6 linked regions of the Rattus norvegicus genome follow. The main gene of each other region encodes a partner of the protein of the gene in region 3 in a complex. Links are inferred from orthologs where the notes say so. Each region holds a gene or a part of one and is shown on either strand. Other genes may lie near its edges.

What was found.
Region 1: Polr1c (region 3) and Taf1a share a complex: the UniProt entries of both Homo sapiens proteins name them as parts of the pol I pre-initiation complex. The link is inferred for Rattus norvegicus from reciprocal best matches to the Homo sapiens genes POLR1C and TAF1A.
Region 2: Polr1c (region 3) and Taf1c share a complex: the UniProt entries of both Homo sapiens proteins name them as parts of the pol I pre-initiation complex. The link is inferred for Rattus norvegicus from reciprocal best matches to the Homo sapiens genes POLR1C and TAF1C.
Region 4: Polr1c (region 3) and Polr1h share a complex: the UniProt entries of both Homo sapiens proteins name them as parts of the pol I pre-initiation complex. The link is inferred for Rattus norvegicus from reciprocal best matches to the Homo sapiens genes POLR1C and POLR1H.
Region 5: Polr1c (region 3) and Polr2k share a complex: the UniProt entries of both Homo sapiens proteins name them as parts of the pol I pre-initiation complex. The link is inferred for Rattus norvegicus from reciprocal best matches to the Homo sapiens genes POLR1C and POLR2K.
Region 6: the proteins of Polr1c (region 3) and Polr1b are in contact, whole or in part, in a cryo-EM structure (PDB 7OBA), measured with the Homo sapiens proteins. The link is inferred for Rattus norvegicus from reciprocal best matches to the Homo sapiens genes POLR1C and POLR1B. Residues at the interface, in NP_976035.1 of Homo sapiens: Ala70, Asn74, Arg77, Arg78, Leu81, Ala82, Gln102, Asp103, Glu104, Ile105, His108, Leu112, Lys220, Asp221, His222, Ala223, Thr230, Ser232, Tyr233, Arg234, Leu235, Asp281, Thr282, Phe283, Ser284, Glu286, Arg289, Arg301; in NP_061887.2 of Homo sapiens: Arg713, Gln715, Lys761, Ala762, Glu765, Arg766, Gly767, His770, Tyr774, Gly816, Val848, Arg872, Pro874, Glu900, Asp901, Phe904, Glu906, Gly908, Lys967, Gly970, Tyr971, Asn972, Phe973, Tyr974, Arg978, Tyr980, Ser981, Gly982, Ile983, Ser984.

The regions. Positions count from the first base shown.
Region 1 is NC_086031.1:97,576,996-97,579,219, reverse strand, and holds the end of Taf1a (TATA box-binding protein-associated factor RNA polymerase I subunit A), read right to left. Parts: intron 1,283-2,224; coding exon 1,128-1,282; intron 672-1,127; coding exon 553-671; 3' UTR 501-552; downstream 1-500. UniProt on the Homo sapiens protein: Component of the transcription factor SL1/TIF-IB complex, which is involved in the assembly of the PIC (pre-initiation complex) during RNA polymerase I-dependent transcription.
Region 2 is NC_086037.1:64,564,800-64,569,037, reverse strand, and holds the start of Taf1c (TATA box-binding protein-associated factor, RNA polymerase I, subunit C), read left to right. Parts: upstream 1-1,438; 5' UTR 1,439-1,501; intron 1,502-2,258; 5' UTR 2,259-2,259; coding exon 2,260-2,397; exon of another isoform or gene 2,398-3,206; coding exon 3,207-3,288; intron 3,289-3,414; coding exon 3,415-3,512; exon of another isoform or gene 3,513-3,583; coding exon 3,584-3,673; intron 3,674-3,679; exon of another isoform or gene 3,680-3,747; coding exon 3,748-3,821; exon of another isoform or gene 3,822-3,894; intron 3,895-3,945; exon of another isoform or gene 3,946-4,205; intron 4,206-4,238. UniProt on the Homo sapiens protein: Component of the transcription factor SL1/TIF-IB complex, which is involved in the assembly of the PIC (pre-initiation complex) during RNA polymerase I-dependent transcription.
Region 3 is NC_086027.1:22,232,055-22,236,117, reverse strand, and holds the start of Polr1c (DNA-directed RNA polymerases I and III subunit RPAC1), read right to left. Parts: upstream 2,801-4,063; 5' UTR 2,745-2,800; coding exon 2,676-2,744; intron 2,582-2,675; coding exon 2,510-2,581; intron 799-2,509; coding exon 691-798; intron 466-690; coding exon 333-465; intron 1-332. Other genes in the region: protein YIPF3, read left to right, coding at 3,046-3,126, 3,662-3,859, 4,000-4,063. UniProt on the Homo sapiens protein: DNA-dependent RNA polymerase catalyzes the transcription of DNA into RNA using the four ribonucleoside triphosphates as substrates.
Region 4 is NC_086038.1:1,598,900-1,602,969, forward strand, and holds the start of Polr1h (DNA-directed RNA polymerase I subunit RPA12), read left to right. Parts: upstream 1-1,270; 5' UTR 1,271-1,371; exon of another isoform or gene 1,372-1,452; 5' UTR 1,453-1,464; coding exon 1,465-1,600; intron 1,601-1,829; coding exon 1,830-1,930; intron 1,931-2,094; coding exon 2,095-2,204; intron 2,205-4,070. UniProt on the Homo sapiens protein: Core component of RNA polymerase I (Pol I), a DNA-dependent RNA polymerase which synthesizes ribosomal RNA precursors using the four ribonucleoside triphosphates as substrates. Can mediate Pol I proofreading of the nascent RNA transcript.
Region 5 is NC_086025.1:69,239,963-69,244,032, reverse strand, and holds the start of Polr2k (DNA-directed RNA polymerases I, II, and III subunit RPABC4), read right to left. Parts: upstream 2,801-4,070; 5' UTR 2,718-2,800; intron 2,014-2,717; 5' UTR 2,005-2,013; coding exon 1,944-2,004; intron 1,607-1,943; coding exon 1,514-1,606; intron 1-1,513. UniProt on the Homo sapiens protein: DNA-dependent RNA polymerase catalyzes the transcription of DNA into RNA using the four ribonucleoside triphosphates as substrates.
Region 6 is NC_086021.1:136,785,682-136,789,929, forward strand, and holds the start of Polr1b (DNA-directed RNA polymerase I subunit RPA2), read left to right. Parts: upstream 1-1,448; 5' UTR 1,449-1,508; coding exon 1,509-1,685; intron 1,686-3,365; coding exon 3,366-3,533; intron 3,534-3,989; coding exon 3,990-4,136; intron 4,137-4,248. UniProt on the Homo sapiens protein: Catalytic core component of RNA polymerase I (Pol I), a DNA-dependent RNA polymerase which synthesizes ribosomal RNA precursors using the four ribonucleoside triphosphates as substrates.

The sequences.
Region 1 (2,224 bases), on a different chromosome or scaffold from region 3:
TTCTCTTCCTATCCTCTCTATCCCCTCAACAGAGCCCATCAGTAGCTGTGGGGTGTGGAAGTGAAGCTGGCAGAGGAACAAATGGGAAGGAGGCCGAGTACCACAGCCTCCTGTGACTCCTAGAAGAGTCTGATCTACTGTACACAGTATAGCACCCAGTAGACCTGTGAGACAACACAGAGGACCCAGGGCCAAGGCAGTGGCTGCTTCTCCAGGTGACCAGCCCCTTCCCTACCGGCTCCTGGTCATACTTGTGCCAAGTCATGTAAACGTGTAGACATATATAAACACATACACAAATAAATAAATGAATGAATAAAAAACAAACAATCTGGGCATGGTACCCACAATCATCATCCCAGAGCTAAGAAGAATCCGGAGGACATCCTGGCCAGCCAGCCTAAGAGGTGAGCCCCAGCTCTCAGTGAGAGACCAGACTCAAAGCAAAGTCCTGCTGACTTCTAGCTTCCATATGAACATGTGCACACAGACACATAAAGTTAAAATACAAACCACTACACTGTAGTGACAACTGTAAAATAAGTTCAAGACCTAGGTGTGAACGCCTGGATTTACAATAGTATATTTTTTCACAGACTTCTTCATCCGCTTGATTTTCTTTTTCAAGGTTTCATGATCTTGTTTTAAAATATACCGAAAGTATCTACAACCTAAAAGATGAAACAAAATAAGAAAAGGTTTTAATATTTATCAAATTATTAAGAAGACTTCTACATTTAAATTTTTTCTTTAGTCCTGGAACACTAATGATTCTGAATGTAGATTGGTTTGTGTCACGTATACCAATGTAGGCATCCTGTACAAGCCTCCCCAGTGAAACCCCACCACTTCACAGGCAGGGCTCACCCTCCTCAGGTAAAGCAAGCGCTTCAACTCCACCCCTCTCCTAAGCCTCCTCACAGTGATGTGCACACTACACAGACTCACTTGTTAAAGGAGCCTTCTGAAAGCTAACTGACCCTAACTCAGCTCAGGGCTTGCACTCCCATTCCAGTCACTTCTGAGGCACCTAAACCCCTGGGCATCCCAAGGACAGGTGAACGAGGGCCCACTTTCTAGCCTCAGTTGGCCAAAAGCTACATCCAGATAAACAGAAAACAAACCACCTTTCCCTAAAAGGATTCCAGCTACAAAAGCCTTTTCACAAGCCAGCTCAGCGTCTGCCTTCCAGTCACTCTTTGCCCAAAAGAAGCTGAAGTGAAAGGCTGGCCACCAGTTTCTCCTGGACTTCCACTCTTCTTCAACCCACTCACGATGGCTTCTGAAAAGGAACAGGAGAAAAGGGAAGGTCAGGGAAGCACACAGCTGTGGTCGGAATCTGTACATGAGCAGTGTCTACAGAAGACAATTCCACACACGGTGGTTGCAGTGGCGTGGGGCCAGCCCATGCTCGCTCTTTTTGTGAGTGTCCCATTTCCACCCCTAGCCAACGTGCGGCCACAGAGTGATCAGCAGCAAGGATGCTGAACTAAAATGCAGGGCTGAGATCTCAGATCCTCCGTCTCTATTGCATGATCCCAAGCAAGCAGCTAACCGTTCTGAGCCTCAGTTTCTTGGACAGCGAAAATGGCTATTTCCTGGTGTTTTTGTTAGAAGAGAACTAGTCCAACAGTGCAGCAGATTCCATAAAGCTCCTCACACAGTGTCTGCTGCAGGGTAACTTAGCTACTACTGTAATCACTGAAAAGGCACTTTACATCCGAGATAAAATCATGTGCTACCGAAATGACTACCCCAGCTCCGATGCCAATGTTACACAAACACATGAGCTTGCAGCTGCACCAAGCAAACTAAGTGTCCCCCAACAACCTGCGTAAACGTGCGCTTGAGGTCTATGGCCCCCTGTGGTAGAACGTCTACATTCAGCACGTGAACGGTGCACTTCTTGACCTACAGGACCCGTGCTCCAGTAGGGATTTCAATGGCTCTCGATCTATTCAGTGATTGACACTGAACCCTAGCACATGTCGTGGTGTGGATGCACACATCAGATCATTACGATTAGGAGAGGTGCTCTTCTAGGCCTAGGGCACTAGGAGCGGAGTCTTTGAGACATTGTAAGCTAGAGCCCTGTGAGAGCCCGGATAGGACATCAGTTGTCCCTTTCAGCAGGGGAGCACAGCAGGAGGGCACTGGGAACCAAGAAATTGGGCTTCCCCAACACCAAATCTGCTGGCGGCTTCTCCTGGGACTTCTCAGCTAC
Region 2 (4,238 bases), on a different chromosome or scaffold from region 3:
AGTTACTATGACCTCAAAGCAACACTGTGTGCAGCTGGGAGCGGGGAAGCAAGAGTATGAACTAGAGGGTTATAAGCTTCAAGATTGAAGCTATGCTAAAAGAAAAGGGGGGGTGTGAAAGAGCCCGAGTAGGGACCAATCTGGAGCCAGTGGGAAAATTCCTACCACAAACCTCCAAGCACAAGGACCCCTCCCTTCCAGGAAGAAGAAAAAAGCTGGTTTAGGTCCTGGAACAGCTACAAGCCAAACCGTCACACAAAGTTACCTGACTCCCAACTGAATGGTACACAGAGTCGATCAGAAGAACGTTGTTTGGCTTCACTAAATGAGCATAGTACCCTGCCTGGTTACCATTGTCCAAATTCCGCCCCAGTTGTTTGCAAGGTATATAACTCCGTTAGAGTCTGCTCTTAGGGTTGTCTCCTCTTGAAGTGGGATGACCCTGACATGTCGGAATGATTAGACCCCTCTTGCTTTTGCGTCAGTCACCTGCCTCCGTGGGTCTCATTCAGGGGGTCCTGGAAGAGGTTCAATTCAGACCTCACAGACTACAGCACCAGACTAGAACTGCTCAGACAGACAGCCTCATGGACAGAACATTACCAAATTCTCCTTGCCTTTTCTGTCATAAGACAACTATTATTAGATTACCCCGATCACAGCCTGTAAGCCAGTCTAATAGAATCACCTCCATTCTATACTCAATCAGTTCTGTTCCTTTAGAGATCCTTTATGCATAGACTCAGGAACACAGATTCAGGTCCCCCCGAGTAACCTGCTCCACCTTGGAGACCGATTTATGAAGTCTTGATAATTACAGAACAAAGGGAAGTCATAACCCAAAGAAGCTTTCAAATACATTGGTGGGAATGTCATGTAGGTAGGTTACATTGAAGCAGATCTGTTCCTTGTCTCAAGATTCTATCTGAAGACATTCTTAGCCTCCAGGTGTGTAGAAGCGAGTGGTCAGCAGAGCCACACATCCTAAGTTTCATGTCATAGTGCCAGGGCCAAGGCAACCTACAGGCAGCGCCCAGGACTTGCTGCCTGTGAATTTGAAAAAATCCCCCAAGAGGACAACCTAATATTCATTCCCGTTCCCCGGTTTAAGCCATGCATGCACCCAGAGGCGTCTGTGAAGAGGATTCTAGAACTTGTGGGCAACAAATACAGTGAGTGGCTCATCAGTGCTGCTCAGTTGTTTGTTGAGAGGATCAATTAAACTTCCCAACACTCTTGTAAGATAGGAAGTTAATGAAGTGGAGGCAGGATCGTCCAACACCAGGACGATGGGAATTTCACAGCTCGGTTCAATTCGCCGCCTGCTCTGAAGGTGGCGCTGGAGGACATAGTGAGGTGAGCTGGGGCGGGACTTCCTGTCTCACTGGAGCATTTCCGGCCCGGCCCGGAAACTAGTTCAGTCTGGGTGGCAATGCTCCAGTAGTTGTGGGTGGCGGCGTTGAGGAGTGGCAGTCCGGCTCATTTGTGTCCCCGGGATCAGGTGAGACTGTTGCCGGGAACCGGCAGGGCCCGCGTGCGGGGATGCTGAGAGCACGTGGCAGGCCACATGGCTCTCGAGCAGGCCGATTCCAGCGCTGAGTCTTATCCTAGATGTTTGCCATGAGGGAGGGCGGTCCCGGAAAACTTGTGAGCAGATTACGGGTCTTCAGTTCCTAGACTCTTAAATTCAGAGCCATCACATCTCGTCCAGCAGCTCGGCCGGTCGGATGTAAGATTTAATTTTTACTAAAAATGAGGACTGTTTGACAGTTACCGCTTGAAGAGAGTTCCTGCTTTAACTCAGACCACGGGCATTTCGGGAGAAGCCTGTATTTGGCCGGGAAAGCCGGAATAGTACGCAGCTCTGGTACGCCCACAGAGGGGTGGAAGAAAGTCTGCCTGATTGAAGACCGCTCAGCTCTCATTAACATCCCACTTGGTCCTCTCACTCTCCCGTTCATATATTCAGCGGTTGCCTATCTCTGGCATTTTACCTGCCTCGGGACCTCTTGCGCTCACCGGTCATTCTCCCCAGCCCCTCTTCCAAGGTGTGCACAGAGCTATCTCCCTGGCTGCCCCAAGGGAGCACTCCCTTGTGATTGGGAGTGAGCAGCTCTGGCGTTAGGCTGCAGATTCTGGTCTTTACCTGCTGTCTTGTAGTGGTCTCCCCTGCGGGCACTGTGTGCTCTCTGGGAGCCCTGGGGCACTGTTGAGACTCTTAATGAAGTCCTGTGTAACGTTAGATACATTGTCTCCAGGATGGACTTCCCCAGCACCCTGCGTCCTTCGTTGTTTATGGCCGGTCCTCTTGGCATGACTGATGGCCCCGACTTGTCCTTCATGTGCAGCTGGAGAGATGCACTGACCCTGCCAGGGGCCCAGCCACAGAACTGCAGGGTGAGGATGGAAGTGGGGTCCTTTCCTTGGTCTCTTCTTCATTCACTTATCGGAGAAAGAGGTCCCAGCAGATGCTAGTGCTGTGCACCGGCCGCCCTACTATCCAGACAGAATCTCTCAATAGAGGCTGTAGCTCCTCTTTCCTTGCTCCCTCTCCCTGGGTTCAGCAAATGTTTATTAGCCAGTGTCTCTGTGTTAGGGTCCTTACAGGCCCAAGAGCCCACCATGAGGAGGTCAGGCAAACCCACCCAAGGGACTGCCAGTTATGGTGGGAGACAGTACGCCGATGGGCAGACCCTGTGTAGTGTGGCCTTGGCTCTACTAGATCATGAAATGGCAGGGGAAGGGGACAGGATTTCTGCTCTTGGGAAGGCCATCTTCAGCTGCCTTGTATTGAGTACGTAGAGGGGAGCAGGTCAAAGAGAGGGTATTGGGGGAGGGGAGTTCTTGGTCCTTGGGACAAGGGAGACTTGTTGGTACCTACTTGGAACCCATTGAATGACAGGACTCAGAGGAAGTGGCTGAGAAAATTGGAGCTCATTGCGTTCTGGGTGGGACAGTCAAGATATAGGTGCTTCCTTTGAAAGCTGCTATGAATGGAGTTTAGAATACAGGCTCTGGAGTTGGTTGCCTGGGTTCAAGTCTATGCCTGTTTTTAGTTGACTGTCACCTAGGGCAAGTGACAGCAGCCTCACCCTTCGGGTTCTACATTAGCACAGTGACTAGCTTTTTAGATTTGTCACGACGACTGAGTTGGTTAAGGGCAGGGAGCGCATACTTGCCATGTTATTGCTGCCCTGTATCCCTAGGACCAGACATCGTCCTTTGCCAAGAACCTGCTGTGGGAGCCATCGACACCAGGACCCCTGCCCCTGGTGCCTCCTGGCCCTGGTAAGAGTCTCTCTCCTTCTGGGCTCCCTCCAAGGACCTTAGCCATCGCATGGACAAGGGGATCCCAGATTGCAGATACCTCCCTATTCCCTCTCAGGTTCTTCTCTGACTTCCTTCTCCCCTTAGATCCCTGGGACCCTGGTCTGGCAGCTCAGGACTTCCTCTTCCGGGGAGGTCACTACTACCAGTACCAGTCTCGAGTTGTGCTGGATGTCACTGAGCAGGTAAACGGTCTCTGGGTGGGACTGTTTCTCACAGCCTGAGCTATGCTGACTCACACAGCCATTCCCCACAGCTCAGCCGCTTCCTGTGGGACCATGGGGATATAGCCTTTGCACCCCTGGGGAAACTCATGCTGGAGAACTTCAGATTGGAGGGGAACCGGGTAAGGAGCCACCACTGGCTGGGTGGATGGTCAGCCACCTCCCTGGGTGCAAACCTGACAGGCCTTCCCTGCAGGGCTACTCGAAAAAGGTGACCATAGTCAGCGTGAAGAGGCTGCTTCAGGACCTCGGTGGACACCAGCCCTGGGGGCAAGTAGCCAGTGAGAAAGCAGCCACGGACAGACCTGTGGTGGGATGTGGAAGGAGCTGGGACACTGACCAGGTTTTCAGCATAGTGGCTTTTCCAGCCCCACACAGTCGTGAGCCATGAGTTCACAAAATTCCCAGTTCCAAGCAGCTTAAGGGAAAAGGGGGGTCGGTGAACCTGAGGCACGGCTACATCCAGGTGTTTAGAATCTCGTCTCACCCACTTACCTCTGTCTGACTTAACTCAAGCAACAATACGATGGCTTCTTATTCCAAAGGAAGAGTCAGTGTCTGAACTACTGCAAATCCTACAAAAGACCTCAGTTGCCCTGACTGGGGACATCTGTGAGCCACTTGCTAGGAGGCACAGAAATATTCAGGGACAGGGTACGGTGTATTCTAGGCAGCTAAGAGAGAGGT
Region 3 (4,063 bases):
TTGGGAGTAAAGATGTACACCACCATGCCTGCCTGGCCCTACTAGCTCTAGTAACGGGCTGACAAGAAGCCTCAGAGGGTGCATGCTTGCTTAAACCTACAGACCCAACTTCAATCCCTAGAAACCATGTAAAGGTGGAAAGAGCCTCTGAGCGCTGCTGGCACTGTGCTAAGAGTGAGGGATTAAAGGCAGGGGCAAGAGAACGTTCTCACAGGCGAAGGCCCATGTACAAGAGCCAACTAAGATCACAGTTAATTAGGCCTGGGATCTGAGCCCATGACAGATTCCAGGACAGTTCTGCCTAACTCATAATCTCAACCTCTCAGCCTTACCTGGGTTCCGATATTCAAAGAGACGTGGATCAGCAAGAATGGGGATAAGCCCCAGGCGGTGAGCAAGGATCTCATCCTGGACGATGGATGTGTTGTTATACACCAAAACCTTTTCCACAGCCATTGTTGGCACCTGCCCAAGGAAGCAAAATGATCTACCTGACCTCCACCCATCCCCTACCTGGAAAAACGAGGGGCAGCCCTTCTTAGTTTTGCCCTTCAGATTTGATACAAGGTTTACTGTGTAGTTCGGACTGCCCTCTGAAGTGTTCATATTATAGGTGTAAACCGCCCCACCCGCCCGGTAGTCTACAGATGGGGTGACAGTTTCCACACTCCAGCCCGCGACTTCTAATACCTCAGCTAACAGAATCCTCCGGAAGGCATTGGCAATGGCAGCATCAATCCCCACCATGTCGAACTCCAGTGTGCTCTCGTCCATATGCACCACGTCCACACGGAAGTTCTAGAGGGGTAGAGAAAGCCCAGTGGGTGGGAAACCTGTTCCTCTTGTGTGAACCCAGTCTACCCTGGCACTATCCCCCAAGATCATCAGTAGACATTTTGTCTCTAGTCCCACTGGGAGGGCAGTGTACTGTTCCTTGTTTATGTTTTTCAAGACAGGGTTTTTCTGTAGCCCTGGCTGTCCTAGAACTCACTCTGTAGACTAGGCTGGCCTCAAACTCAAAGATCCACCTGCCTCTGCTTCTTTTTTTCTTTCTTCTTTTTTCTTTTTTTTCGGAGCTGGGGACCGAACCCAGGGCCTTGCGCTTGCTAGGCAAGTGCTCTACCACTGAGCTAAATCCCCAACCCCCTGCCTCTGCTTCTTGAGTGCTGGGATTAAAGGTGTGTGCCACTATGCCTGGCTTCTCAGATAGTCCACAGACCACCCAGCAAAGCTACTGTACAAAAAGCAGAACTTCCCACCTATTTAAACCATTTGATACTTGCATTTTTTAATATCTACTTTTCCTTATCTAAATTTTCTCTTCCACCCAGTAAACGTTACTTTCTCCCAGGTTCTAAATCCCCTGGGTGACCTTCATGCTGCTGACTCAAGCAAGGGCATAGCAGCTCCTGACCTTGGTCTGACTTCAAGCATCACCACTCGACCGGTAGACTTCGCAAACAACTGTGCCATCGCCCTGGTCCTCCCGCTTAGCAAATGACACAGCCAGCAACACAGTTCCCCAGTGTGGCTGGAGAAACCACTCGGCAGTTAAGAGCACTTACTGCTCTTGCAGAAGAATGGATTTGGTTCCCAGCACCCAGTGGGACCTCCTCACACTGCTGGGAGCAGTGGTGCACAAATACACATGCAGGCAAACATACATACCAAGAAAAGGTTATCCGTTCCTCAAGCCACAAGGTCCTTTCTCACACTGCCCTCACCACAGCAATGGTCTGCATCAGCTAGTTACTACTCTCACTCCATTACCACCATCTGCAGTTCATCCATGCCCCCAATTTCAGCCTCCATACACTAGCTGGCAGATTCGCCAGATTCATTCCTTCCCAGCTATCAAGACTGCAAAATTTTATCAGTCTACTGAAAAATTCTAACGGGGCATGGTGGCTCATGCCTTTAATCCTGTGCACGGGAGGCAGAGGCAGGTGGACCAATCTGAGTTTGAGTCCGGCCTGGTCTACAGAGGGGGTGCCAGGGCAGCCATGGAACCCTGTTTCAAAAAGACATAAAAATAAAAATCTATCACCTACAGAGTCTAAAATGCATTCCAATCTTATCTACTGCTCATGCTGGTGGACTTACATTCTGACAAAAATGAGCTGCTGCAGCTGACTAAGAGCAAACCTTATACAAGCGTTTATAATGAAACTCGAATTAGGCCTTCACCGCTCAACTTTTATTCATAGTTCAAAGCTTAATTCAAATGTCACTCCCTAACTACGTCCCTTCAATTGGCTGGATTAAGTGCATCAATGATTCCTACCCCATCCCAGCCATCTTCATCGCTATTTTATTATACTGAAATAACTTGTTTGTGGCCCATTACCCCACCGAGAGCAAACAATTTATTCCACAAACAGGAGCGGTGTCTGACGGCCCGTCCATGGATCGGGAAACATGTTTTCATGTTTCATGAAAACAGAGATCCCCAACCCAACCTGTGAGGTCTGGCCCCTCAAACCGTCTGGACACTTCCAGCCCTACCCACCTTCTCGAACCGGTCCTGGTCCCAGGCATCATCATAACCGGAGTAGTTACCGGGAAAGTCAGTGGTGTGGACCTAGAGCCAACAGAAAGGGCAGTGAGGCCAGGCCATACACCAGGCCTCCTCTCTCCCGTGCCTCCCCCATCACTCCCGCGGTCCGATCTCTTACATTGCGAACCCCAAACTCTCCCAGAACCACGCGAGTCCGCATTTCCTCCACCGCCTGAGCAGCCGCCATCTTCCACCATCAGCCGTGAGAGGAGGCTCCAAGTTAGCGCGTGCGTGCTAGCGGCCCGCCTCCGTCTCCGCGGCAACGTTCCGTCTCCGGCAATCTTCACTGTCGCGATATCTTGTCCCGCCTCTGTCCACGTCCTTCACTTCCGGACGTCAATTGGGGCCAAACATCCGGGTTTCTCACTTTTGCGTTCCGGCTGGTCCTACCTCGCCTAGTCGCTCCTCTGAACCTTTCCTTCCCTCGGGCCCAGGTCTCACACTATTCCCACGAGCGCTAGCTTCAGCGACGGGAAGCCTCGAGGGACATGGCGACTCAGGCGGCGCCGGCCAGCGGCGTCCGAAATGGTGCTGGCCCGGAATGGGGAGGCTTCGAAGAAAACATCCAGGTATTGAGAGCTCTTGCTGCCAGCAACTCCCCGGGCTGGCGGCCGAGTGTGGTTGCTATTTTTTCTCGCGGCGTGGAAGTCGGCTCTATTGCCACACTGCCTGTCCTCTTTCAGTCTTCCACGCGAAAGTGTGTAGAGCTTGTGCTGGCGTGAAAGGGCTAGATTAAGGTTCGAGTCTCTGTACCTGCCCGGGGCTTTGCAGACGGGTTGGGGGATCTGCCTGGATCAGGCATAGTATGGGACTACAGGATAGAATTTCGGCACTTCCTAAAATAGGCTTGTTTGAGAGTTGGGAAAGGCAGATGGGCTTCTTTGCAACTCTTTGGAGCTTTGGGAGGGGCGGGGGGGGGAGGGCGAACTACAAGTGTCGCCACCAAGAGTTGCCAGCAGTGAAAGGTTATGTATAACACAGTGGGTAGCAGTTCCAAGCCATATCCTCGTCAGTGGAAGAGCAAAGCCTCAAACTGTCAGATGAGGGGAGAACCAAAGGATGCAACGGAAGGGCCCCTCACACTAGGAGCCATTGTCTTCACAGGGTGGGGGCTCGGCTGTGATTGATATGGAGAACATGGACGATACCTCAGGCTCCAGCTTCGAGGACATGGGTGAACTACATCAGCGCCTGCGTGAGGAAGAGGTAGATGCTGATGCAGCTGCTGCAGAAGAAGAGGACGGGGAGTTTCTCGGCATGAAAGGCTTTAAGGGACAACTGAGCCGGCAGGTAGCAGATCAGGTAAGCCAATGGAAAGGAAGACCTGTGTGTGTCCTAGGTTGATACACTTTTTCCACTTAGACCTACATACACAGAAATCAAGCGGAGGCCGGGTAACCGTCTAGAGCCAGGAGTTTTTCATAATACCCATCTCCTTTCAGATGTGGCAGGCAGGGAAGAGACAAGCTTCAAAGGCCTTCAGTTTGTATGCCAATATCGACATCC
Region 4 (4,070 bases), on a different chromosome or scaffold from region 3:
TTATACTGCTTGTGCAGTAAAGGCAGCGGTCAAACCACGGTGGATGTCTGAAGAATGTCCAACTTTAAAGGGAAAGTGGGGCTAATTTCTACTTTGAAAGAAGACACAGGTAAAATTTAGAGTTCAACCATCACAGTCTCGGCAACAGAGCTTTGCCAGTTTCACCCCTAAGTAAAACGACAGGGTCTGTCCTCCGGCATCTTGCTCAGGGGTTTTAACTACTTCTCCAGGGTTTAATCTCACAATAAGTGCACAGAAAGACAGATGAGGGTCTCTTCTATGAAAGAGTAGTTTATGTCCTTTAGAAAGTAGTTATGTGACTTAGCATGGTAATCAGGTTGGCTGCTGGAGGGCTGGGGACGCTGTCTTCAAGCTGGTCCTTCTTCAGTATACGTTTTCCTTACTTTGTACGCTTCTGGTGAATGAAACGACACGACTTTACATTTACTCTATTGTTCACTTACTGGATGGCAGGTATTTAAACACGGGTGAATGGGAGCTTAGGAGAGTGGAAGATGGTCTGCAAGTGAAAGCCAAGACCAATCTCCTAGTAAATCCAAAGAAGTGCTTTAATAACTAACCTCCCTCTCCCTCATCTGGCAAGTGCCTAGGGAGAGAAGAGCCCTAGTCACACCAGTTGCACCATCTTCAAATCCCTAAACTCCCTCTCACCCTCACCATTCCACACTCCTTACGAAGCTGACTCACTCAAGTGCTCAGAACTGCCCAAAGCTGACGCGAGGAAGCCGGTGTAGCCGAGAGACGAACGGCCAGGAGGGCCCAAAAGAATGCTTCTTAGCTTTGCTTTTGACTACTGAGCGGCTGCAAAAGGAAAACAAAACGGTCTCGGGAACCAGCAAAAGTTGCGGTTCTCTCAATCCAAGAGGTATCAGTTGCTCTGGAAAAATCAGTACAGTTTTAGGGGGACGCTCCCGCCCCCTTCCCCTGCTACGTGTAGGATTCCCTGCAAAAGCAAATAGTCCAGGATTAGTGCGGAGCAGGAAAATAGCGAGTGGCCTAGCACTAGCTACTCGCCTTAACTTGGTCGACGTCATAGTCCCAGACTGCGTGCCGCCGTATATTCCCTTCCGCCAGAGGTTCGGCTCCTTCCCTTAAGCGGCCTCGAGTACCTGCGCCATTAATTATGACGTCACGACCCAACGGCCACCAGGACCCGGAAGACGCTCTAGCCCGCCGGGCGCACTCGCTGCCTGGCGCCTTGGGATCGGACGCTCTAGCCCGCGGCTGGGATCTGTACTCTATCTCCCTTCCGCCTACCTCCTGCCGCACAAGGCTCCCCAGCAGCTGAGGCTCCAGGCTCCTAGCACTCCAAACTCTGCGGTCAGAGGATCCTGTGGGAGGAGGACTCAGGTAATTCCCGCTAGGGAAGCGGTGAGGAACCACCTTCAAGGCCAGACTCCTGCGCCTCAATAATAAACTCCTCTTTCCCAGCTCTCATCCGCCATGGAGCTGGCCCGCCCCTGCTCCAACTTTCAATCAGACTTGGATTTCTGCCCAGATTGTGGCTCCGTCCTGCCGCTGCCTGGAGTTCAGGATACTGTCATCTGCCCTCGTTGTGGCTTCTCCATCGATGTGCGAGGTGAGGGGCTGGTATGCTAGCTACGTCCACGATGGAGGTGACCTCAGCACTGGTTGGGCTTAGGGAGGTGAGACTCAGAACAGGAATCTGTTAGGGAGACATTGACCAAGGGAAGAAACTCAAAGGGAGGTCGTGACTCACCTGGGAGAGTGTTGCTGGGATTCGTTGCCTCTTTTGCTATTTCTACTGTTATTTTTTATTGGTTTGTTTATTTTTACTTCCTGTGCAGATTTTGGAGGGAAGGTTGTGAAGACCTCAGTAGTGTTCAACAAACTGGGGACTGTCATACCTATGTCTGTGGATGAGGGACCTGAATCCCAGGGACCAGTAGTAAGTTGATAAGGACTAGCTCCAAAAGAACAATGGAAAGGGGAATTGGGAGACCTGGTTTTGCACTCCATTCCGTGAGAATGTCCAAGGAGTGCAATAGTCTGATTTCTATGTGGAAGCAGAGACTATGATTAGAACTCCATAACCCTTCTGTTCCTTCCTAGGTTGACAGGCGCTGCTCCCGATGTGGTCACGAGGGAATGGCATACTACACCAGACAGATGCGCTCAGCTGATGAAGGACAGACTGTCTTCTATACCTGTATCAACTGCAAGTGAGACGATTACCCCTCCCATTGCCCCTTTTCAGTGCTTGCAAAACAACATTAATGACAGACTCATATTATTTCATTTGGTCCGGTTCATTAGAGGAGGGTTTGTAGCCCCTTTTTATTTTTATTATTTACTTGGCGTTTTTCAAGACTTAGAGCTCACCCAGGCTGGCTTTGAACTCTCAACCATACAGCCTAGGTTAACCTCAAGTTTCCTGCCTCTGTTTCCTGAGTGCTGAGATTCAAGCATGTGCCACTGCAGCTGGCTTGTTAAAAAGACTGTTTATCTTTTAAAGTTATGTGTAGGTGTTTATATCTGCATATTTGAACGTGCAGGTACCCACCAAGGCCAGAGACCTTGGGTCCCTGGAGCTGGAATTACAGGTAGCTCTGAGCCTTTGGATGTGGGTGCTGAGAACTGAACTTGGATCCTCTGCAGATCCTCCTAAGCGTTGAGCTATCTCACAGCCCCCCCAACACCCACCCCCTTACTGTTTTTACAGCTAGTTTTCTAAACCTATTAAGATGTATGAAAAGAGAGCTATGTGTGGTAATGTGTGCCTCAAAAGGAGGATCGTGGTTTCAAGGCCAGCCTGAGCTACACAGGCTGTCACCAAAGCAAAATGAAAACCAAAGCTTCTAGGAAAATTTAAAGCACAGGAAGTAGGCATTGTTCTGCACAGTTGGACAACATGCTGAAATTTTACACTGTGAAGGAGTGACTTGACATAATCTTGCATGATTCAAAGGACGTGGTCTGGATGGTTTGGAGCAGTCTTGTCTTGGTTGTTGTGTAGTTCTACATAATTGTGTGGCTTTCTGTGCTTTTGCTTTTTGTTGTTTTCCTTTCTCCTGGGGGTACCGCTTTAATTCTCGGCCTCAGGCATGTGAAAGAAGTGCTCTGCACTCAGTGGTGCCCCGAGCTCTCTTGTATTTGTTCTCTTTAGAATTGTAATTAATGTTTTTCTTCTTCTTAATCTTCTTATGCTGCTTCTACCTCTGAGATTCAAGGATTACAGGCGGGTCGGTGCCACCATAACTGTTCTGAGGATCCAACTCTGAGCTTTGGGAGAACTATATAAGCACTCTTACCAGCTCAACCACATACCAGTCCCTTAGGTTTCCCAAGCTGAGACTTGACTTACCTTTTGTCAGTCTGGAAATATATCAGCCATTATCCCATTCCAGTATTGCTTGTCCCCCATGTCCTCAAATTTCTTATTAGACTTTCACATCTCTCATCTTTGTATTTTCCATCCCATTTCTGTTTATAGAGTCTTCTGGGTAATTTCTCCAGATCTTTCTTACAGAGAGGTCAGAAAAAGATGTCAGATTTTTCTCTTCAGTTTGTATGTTTGTGGTGGGGAGAATGTTGTAGGTGTAGTGTATTTATGTGTTCATGTGGATGTATGCATGTATTTGTGCATGTGTATATTTGGTAGCCAGTGTTAGACACTGGGTATTTCTCTCTCTCTCTCTCTCTCTCTCTCTCTCTCTCTCTCTCTCTCTCTCTCTGTGTGTGTGTGTGTTTTGAGACAGGGTTTCATTATATTCTTGGCTAGCCTAGAAATCTTTGGAGACCAGACTGGCTTCAAACTTCCAGATACCAATCAGCCTCTGTCTCCAGAGCGTTGGAATTAATGTATGCCGCCACTTCCAGTTCTCCACATTATCTTACGAGGCAGAATCTCTGATCCTGGAGCTCAGACTAGGCCGGTTACCCAGTCAGTGCGTTTTGGACATTCATTTTCCCACTGTCCCATGTTTCCCAGATCTAGTAGAGCCCATTCTGTACATGTGGACTACCACACCCAGAATTTTCTTTACTTTTAAATGGATCCCAGGAATCCAAATTCAAGTTTTCATGTC
Region 5 (4,070 bases), on a different chromosome or scaffold from region 3:
AGAGTTTGTGTCCGTTACCATGAAACAATTTGTAGGCCTCACTATTTTCCACTGTTATTAATCTCTTCTTCCGTACTTTATATTGTTCATAAACTAATAACCAACAATGACTATTACTAAAAACAAAGATTTCCTGAAAAGTAAAAAAGACTTATCAACTAGTTTTTATATTACTGAAAGCCCATAATGAATGGTACATGAAAATGCTAATCACATTTACTTTATATAAAAACCTCTGCCAGGCCTTGGGAGTACATGTCTTTAATCCCGGATTTGGGGGGTAGAGGTGGTGGGCGGGGATAGGTGGATCTCTGAGTTTGAGGCCTGTCTTAGTCAGGGTTTCTGTTCCTGCACAAACATCATGACACAAAGCAGGTTGGGGAGGAAAGAGTTTATCCAGCTTACACAGTCACATTGCTGTTTCATCACCAAAGGAAGTCAGGACTGGAACTCGAGCAGGTCAGGAAGCAGGAGCTGATGCAGAGGCCATGGAGGGATGTTACTTACTGGCTTGCCTCCCGTGGCTTGCTCAGCTGGTTTTCTTATAGAACCCCAGGACCACCAGCCCAGGGATGGCACTACCCACAATGGGCTTGGTCCTCCCTCCTTGATCACTAGTTGAGAAGATGCCTTACAGCTGGGTCTCCCGAAGGCATTTCCACAACTGAGGCTCCTTTTCTGTGATAACTCCAGCCTGTGTCAAGTTGGCCTTCAAAACTAGCCAGTATAAGGCCACAGAGGTTTAGGAAGGCCAGTGATAACCTTAATAAATGAATTAAAAATGTATTTACTGGGTTTTAAAATTTGTTTTATTCAGGTTTATTTTATGCACAAGTGCTTTTGCCTGTATGCATGTATGTACCATTTGGGTCCCGCGCACTGGTAGGTCAGAGGTCGGCCTATCCGACCACCTGTGATTGTGAGCAATCATGTTGGTTCTAAGGCCCTCTGAAAAAGCAGCAATGCTCCTGCCTGCAGATCCAGCTCTCAGGCCCCTAGTTGGTCCTTTGAGACTGGGTCTCACTAAGTAGCTTTAGCTGGCCTGGAATCCTAAGTGTAGACCAGACTGGCCTGGAATTCACAAGGAGCTGCCTGTCTCTACCCCACAAGTTTTGGGAAAAATAAATCCTATTAAAATAATTAATCTGGGTATACCTCCTGTGGAGGCTCCACTCTTTCAGTTCTCAATAAGTCCACATGCACTCTGCTTAAAAAATAATCCAAAAGTTATTACTACTTTGATCAGATCTTAGTCTTTTTTTTTTTAAAGATTTATTTATTTCATGTATGTGAGTACACTGTCACTGTCTTCAGACACACCAGAAGGAATCAAATCCCATTACTAGGTGGTTGAGCCACCATGTGGTTGCTGGGACTTGAACTCAGGACCTCTGTAAGAGTGGTCAGTGCTCTTAACCACTGAGCCATCTCTCCAGCCCCAGATCTTAGTCTTTATCAACCCAAGTATTAGTTACTTCCTCTTCACATTTAAAAAGTATACTTAAAAGGATACATCTCTTAGTCCTTTTCTTGTACATTATTCTGTATCCACATTCTCTGCATCTGATTGGATCCCTGGATTTTATTTCATTTTCGGTGTGACACTCTGGGAAAGAAAGCACATTTATTCAAAGCCTGAAAGAGAAACACTCCAGGGAAGCAAACAGTAACAACATATTAAAAACAGGAGGAAACCAGGGCACCAAAACATCCAAGTACATTCTTATTACTGAACAGACCAAGGAGAAAGAAGAGCTGTAGGCAGTACACCTTTTCCAGATAAAAGGAAGAAATCTTAATAAGGTAGAGGGATTTTAAAATTAACAATCGCTAAAGTGCTCCACGTTATAATTTTAAAGATTTGTACTCATGTATGGAAGGATTCTTTTTAATGGGAGGGGGGGGCGTTCCTAAGTAAAGCATTATTTAAATGTTAATCTTACCTCCACAAATATATATCATTGGCTGCTGCTTTGGTGGTTGAACATCTTTCTGGGTGTCCATTGTTCGTGCCTGAAATGAGAGCCAAAGACTGAGTAACAGGGCCTTCGCACAAAACATGCCCCATTTGATTTATCTTTTTCTCAGAAGCTATACGAGGTTCTGATTTTCCGACCAAAGAGGAAAACCTCAGTAGAATGTTTGCCTAGTGTGCAGAAGCCCAAGAATCAATACCCAATATTACGGATGGGGAAATTAAAAAAAAAAAAAAAGTAATTATCTACTTCCCCTAAACAGTGATGTGGGCTGGGTCTGAAGGATACAGCACATTTTCAACAATAGTAAATACATTATGAATGTTTATTACTCTTCAGGATCCTAGAGGGTATTACACACGAAGAAACGGAGGCTAAGGACATGTTGGTTTGTCCAGTATCACTCCGCAAAGGAATTCCGATTTGAGCTGGGAGCAGTAGCTCCGTCAAAGCTTGTCTCAACATTAACTCCACCGGGGATCTTTATTTTCGCATTTGGTTCTTTAAGAAGGCTTTGAGAGTCTTCACTTTGTAATTCAGGTTAGCCGAGAACTCACTTTGTAGCCTTAGATTGAAAGTCAAGGTGCTTGTTGATGGCAGAATTCTCCTACCTCTGCTTCCCAAGCGCTCAGATGGCAGGCGTGTGCTACCGCTCTCGGTCGTCCAGGGATATTTTAAAGCCAGGTGTCTCTCCTAGTTTTGCCTCCAATTTACCTCCCAAATCACCCGCCGATCCCTTACCTCCGCAGCTCCGGAAAGCGTCCCTCCTCTGTGCACGCAAACGCTTTCTCCGGCTCTTAGAAGCAAGAGACACTACCGGCGCTGCTTCGCCAACTTCCGGCGCTGACTTATGACGCAAAAGCCCTGTCCCTTTCTGCCTGGCAGTACCGAAGAACTAGGGCGCTTGTTGGGGACTGGTTTATAGTGTTTCTCTCCTTAATTCCTGTAGGATTTTGTTTTGATTTGCCCCTCTCTCCAGGGTAGCAAAACATTCCCACAGCTCGGCGTTCGAGAGTCTGTGCTTGTGTAACGGCAGATAGAGCAGGAAGCCAAAACAGGTGCTGCTGGAATCTTAACCCAGCCATTGCTTGGGCGAACACCAGCAGGCCACCCTACCAACACTTCACTTCCCAATATCACGGTTTTCAAATTGTTCAATACCCATGCAGGTTTTTGTTTGTTTGTTGTTTTCAAATTCCAGTTTTCTTAGTTTCTTGTCACCTCTCTTCTATTTTATGTTGGGGAATGGAATGATAGGGGAAGCCCGAGGCTTGATAGTCTATGTAGCCCAGGCTGAGCTTGCTCTTAAACCGGCGCAGTTCTCTACCTTCGCCGCCTCAATGCTGAAATTAATTGCGCAAATCACAACGCCTGCCCATCTTCCTTTTTGAAGCCAAGGTTTTCACAACTAAGGTTTTCACAAGGACAACTCCATCAATTACTTCCACTAGTTGGTGGCTTTAGCTTTTCTCGTAGTATTCTCCCTCTTGTGTTTGATCAATTCAATAGAGTACAGGTGGTATGTGTTCTCACAGATCAAACTTTTAACTCAGTAAAAATCTGTTGGGTTCAGGACGTTTACACTCAATTATTTCACACCATTTATTTTAAAAATAGAGTGGACAAACTAATAGAAGAAAAACTAGGGAAGCATCTGGAACACATGGGCACTGGAAAAAATTTCCTGAACAAAACACCAATGGCTTATGCTCTAAGATCAAGAATCGACAAATGGGATCTCATAAAACTGCAAAGCTTCTGTAAGGCAAAGGACACTGTGGTTAGGACAAAACGGCAACCAACAGATTGGGAAAAGATCTTTACCAATCCTACAACAGATAGAGGCCTTATATCCAAAATATACAAAGAACTCAAGAAGTTAGACTGCAGGGAAACAAATAACCCTATTTAAAAATGGGGTTCAGAGCTAAACAAAGAATTCACAGCTGAGGAATGCCGAATGGTTGAGAAACACCTAAAGAAATGTTCAACATCTTTAGTCATAAGGGAAATGCAAATCAAAACAACCCTGAGATTTCACCTCACACCAGTGAGAATGGCTAAGATCAAAAACTCAGGTGACAGCAGATGCTG
Region 6 (4,248 bases), on a different chromosome or scaffold from region 3:
CACAAATATAAAAATTGATATTCGTAAAAGCCAAACAGTGGAAACAATACAAATTCTCACTGACACTATCCAACCCCCTTGATTTCTATCCAGAAGCAGGCTGGGGTTGCTTCTTTTCTTTTGGGTAGCATGGCCTGATTACTGCTGGCTGTCCTAGTGATCAACATTCAGAGTTGAGTAGAGTAGACCATAAGTGCACAGCCCACAGAATCAAATAACCAGGGCTCGTCGAGGTTCACAGAGACTGCATCGACAATCATGGAGCCTGTATGGGTCTGAGCTAGGTCCTCTGCATGTATTGATGTATAGCTTGGTATTCTTGGGGGACTTCTGACAGTGGGAGCAGGGGCCGTCTCTGACTCTCTTGCCTGCTCTTGGGATACTTTTCTTCTACTGATTTGCTTTGTCCAGACTTGATATGAGGGTTTGTGTCTAGGCTTATTGTAACTTGTTATGCCATTTTCAGTTGATATAACTGGAAGGCCTGCTCTTTTCTGAAGGGAAATGGAGGAGGAGTGGATTTAGAGGAGAACGGTGGTAGGGGGGAAGATTGGGAGGAGGGAATGGAGGGGAAACTGAGGCCAGAATGCAATGTATGCGAAAAAACTAAACTAAAAAAATAAAAAGAGTTGAGAAAGAGACAGAGCCATGGGTGGTGGCACATGCTTTTAACCCAGCACTCAGGCAGAGACAGATGGAGTGCCAGGCCAGCCTGGTCTACAAAGCAAGTTCTAGGACAGCCAGGAGTACATAGAGAGACCCTGACTCAAAAAACAAAGAAACAACAATAAATAAATAATTATTATTATAATAAACCAAGAGTTGAGTAGAGAGGACAGGTTGGTGCCCCAAATCTGCATTTCAGTAGAAGCCAAGACTTCAGAGTCTCCTAAAGTCTGCATCAGGATGTAAGAGGCAAGCTGTGAAAAGGGACAGAAGGGAACCGTTAAAGATACTTCTATCGGGTCCTAATTGACTAATTAAGCTAATATGGGTCACAGAGGTCACACACTAAAGTGGAAAGGGATTTAGTACGGTTTGTAGGATACAAAACATCGAAGTTTAGAGGAAGAGGCAGATCTGCCTGTCTATGTAGTGTTCTCTCTCTCCCTCCCTCCCTTCCCCCTCTCTCCCTCCCTCCCTCCCCCTCTCTCCCTCCCTCCCTCCCTCTCTCGGTGTTTCAAGACACCTCTGTGTTATTGCCCTAAGATGTCCTAGCACTCGCTTTTTAGACCAAACTGGTCTCGAATCCACAGAGATTCCCCTGCCTCCCGATTGCTGGAATTAAAGGTGTCTTGTGTGTAGTTTTAACAGGTCCAACCACGCCATGGTTTAAGTTTCCAGTCGACCGTGAGAAATGGAAGGACCAAAGGTGGGGCGGGCAGAACAAGAGGAACTACATTTCCCAGCAGGCCACGGGGTAGGGTGGCTGTAGGGTTGCTCCGGCCATTCCTGCGGTCCACGAGTGGAGTCGTAGCTCCGGTTTCCCGTCCGGGGCTCGCAGAAGCATGGATGTCGACAGCCGGTGGCGGAACCTGCCCAGCGGGCCCAGCCTAAAGCATTTAACCGACCCCTCGTACGCGGTTCCTCCGGAGCAGCAAAAGGCGGCGTTGCAGGACCTGACGCGGGCGCACGTGGACTCCTTCAACTACGCAGTGCTGGAGGGGCTGAGCCACGCGGTGCAGGTGAGTGGAGCGCACTCTCTGCTCCGGAGCCCGAACCCTCGGCCGGAGGGTCCCTGAGGTTGGAGGAGGTGGCCGGGAGGCCACAGTATGACCTCAAATAGTGATGCAAGCTCACCCTACAGTTCTTTGGGATAGTTCAGAGAGAAAACAACTTATAGCCTAGTGATGGAGGGAAACATGTATTTGTGATTTCTGGATTTATATGTGGGTACGAGCCCTGGTTTTGGGTACTGTGAAAGGAGAGTGAGGACGTGATCTATTTGAGACTGTTTTCCGCCCATTGACAGCGCTCACGCCTTTTCACACCTGGAGTCTTACGTTCTAAAACTACCTCAGAAGGTTCCAAGCTGATTCAGACAGGCTGCAGCAGAGCACATCCTTCAGTTTGCTTCCCTTAGAGTTTCCTTTGGGGGCCAGGAGAGCGGGAACGGTTCGAGACAGGGTTTCGGTAGCGTTTGCTGTCCAGGAACTCCGTAGACCAAGGCTGGCCTCGGACTCACAGACATCTGCCTGCCTCTGCCTTCAAGTACTGGGATTAAAGGTGTGTACCACCACCCAGCTTCTTTTAAGAATTTGCAAGAGGGCTGGAGAGATGGCTCAGTGGTTAAGAGCACTGATTGCTCTTCCAGAAGTCCTGAGTTCAAATCCCAGCAACCACATGGTGGCTCACAACCATCTGTATGAGATCTGATGCCCTCTTCTAGGGTGTCTGAAGACAGCTACAGTGTACTTATATATAATAAATAAATCTTTAAAAAAAAAAAGAATTTGCAAGAGAAAAACTTGCCACCTCTTCTGAGTTGGGCCTGTTGAGGAAGATTAAAAAAAAAAAAAAAAAGCCCAGGGGATCATTGTAACCATGGTAGCAGAGTTCAGGAAAGGACGATAAGGCAAGGTCTCTTTTTGTTAGCATCTGTAGTCCTGGCACTACGCTCTGAGAGTAAGACACCTCTCAGGTTTAAGTGTACCTCACCCTTGTTGGTTGTGTAGGGGTAGCAGGCACCTACAAGCAGTCAATGGCATTCTCTTGAGAACTGCTCTAAGATGTAGAGCTTTTTTAGTCAGGAGCACCATGGAAGTGCAACTATTCCAGGTGTTTAGAAAGGTCTACATTAGATAAGGTTAAGAGAAGAAGATGGTGCGTTCCCTCTGGAGGGAGTAGGTTCGGGGAGGGACATATGTAGTAGACGGTACCCTGAGGTTTTGTTGTCAAACAACTGTATTGTGAGAATTAGGGATGGAGAGATGTGGGAGAGCTTTGACTGTCTGACTGATACTTGGAAATACAGAAGCCATTTACAATTCTTTGAATTGCCAGGCTTCAGTCTGAGGGAATAAAATATACAGAGCTGAACATTTAGATCATCATGTACTTGCCGGTAAAAAAAGCAGTTCTCCTTGTCTTCCTATGCGCAGAGAAGGTGGACTCTTGGCTTAGCGTTTTCTGTGTCTGTAGCACCTACTGCAGAATCAGATACACAGCGCACCATTAAAAAAGCCCTTGGTAAACACATTATAATTAAAGAGTTGGCGAAGTAACCAGTTAGGTATAGCTTTAGTCCCTTTTAGATTTGCTGCGTGGTAGATGTCAGTGAGTGTAGACCATGGTGATTTCAGAGACTCTTAGTGAAGAGTGTGTTAAAAAATGTAAGTGACTTAGCAGGGTGAATTGTCTTTCAGGCCATACCTCCCTTCGAATTTGCTTTCAAAGATGAGCGCATATCTCTTACTATTGTGGACGCTGCCATCAGTCCACCCGCAGTGCCCAAAGGGACCATCTGCAAAGAGCTCAACATTTATCCAGCTGAGTGCCGTGGCCGGAGGAGCACGTACCGAGGGAAGCTGACGGTGAGCATCAGTGGTGGCAGGCAGCCGTCCCTGCACACTTGAGACTAGGGCTGGGGCCTAATAAGGTTATAGGAAAGGCCTGCTTCCTTAGCGTTGCCACTGAAATGATCGTGTCTTCCTCTAAAGGGATCGAGTGTCATCTGAAACATGAAGTCAGTACCTCCTTTTAATATATGAGATGTCTCAGTGGTTAGGAGCACTGCCTTTTCTTCTAGAGGACCAGGGTTTGGTTCCCGGCACCATGGAGGCTCACAGCTGCCAGGAACTCCAGTTCCAGCAGGTCTAAGCCCCTCTTCTGGCCTCCACTGGCACCAGACACACATCTGGTACACAGACGTACATGCAGGCAAAACATTCATATGCAAAATAAAAACAAATACATCTAAATTTTTATTTAAATATTTATTCTGTCATCTCAAGATAATTTCATTTTTTTTTTCTTTTACTTGCCTACAGGCTGATATCAGCTGGGCCGTGAATGGAGTCCCCAAAGGCATCATTAAACAATTTCTTGGCTATGTTCCCATCATGGTGAAGTCCAAGCTTTGCAACTTATACAACCTTCCTCCTCAAGTCCTCATTGAGCACCACGAGGAGGCAGAGGTGAGTGCAGGGATCTAGGCTGCAGGGCAGCAGCAGAGGCTGGGGTTGGAGGTGAGGAACAGGAAGCTGGACCACTGATACGGGTCTGTGCTGTGCCTGACTCTTACCACAG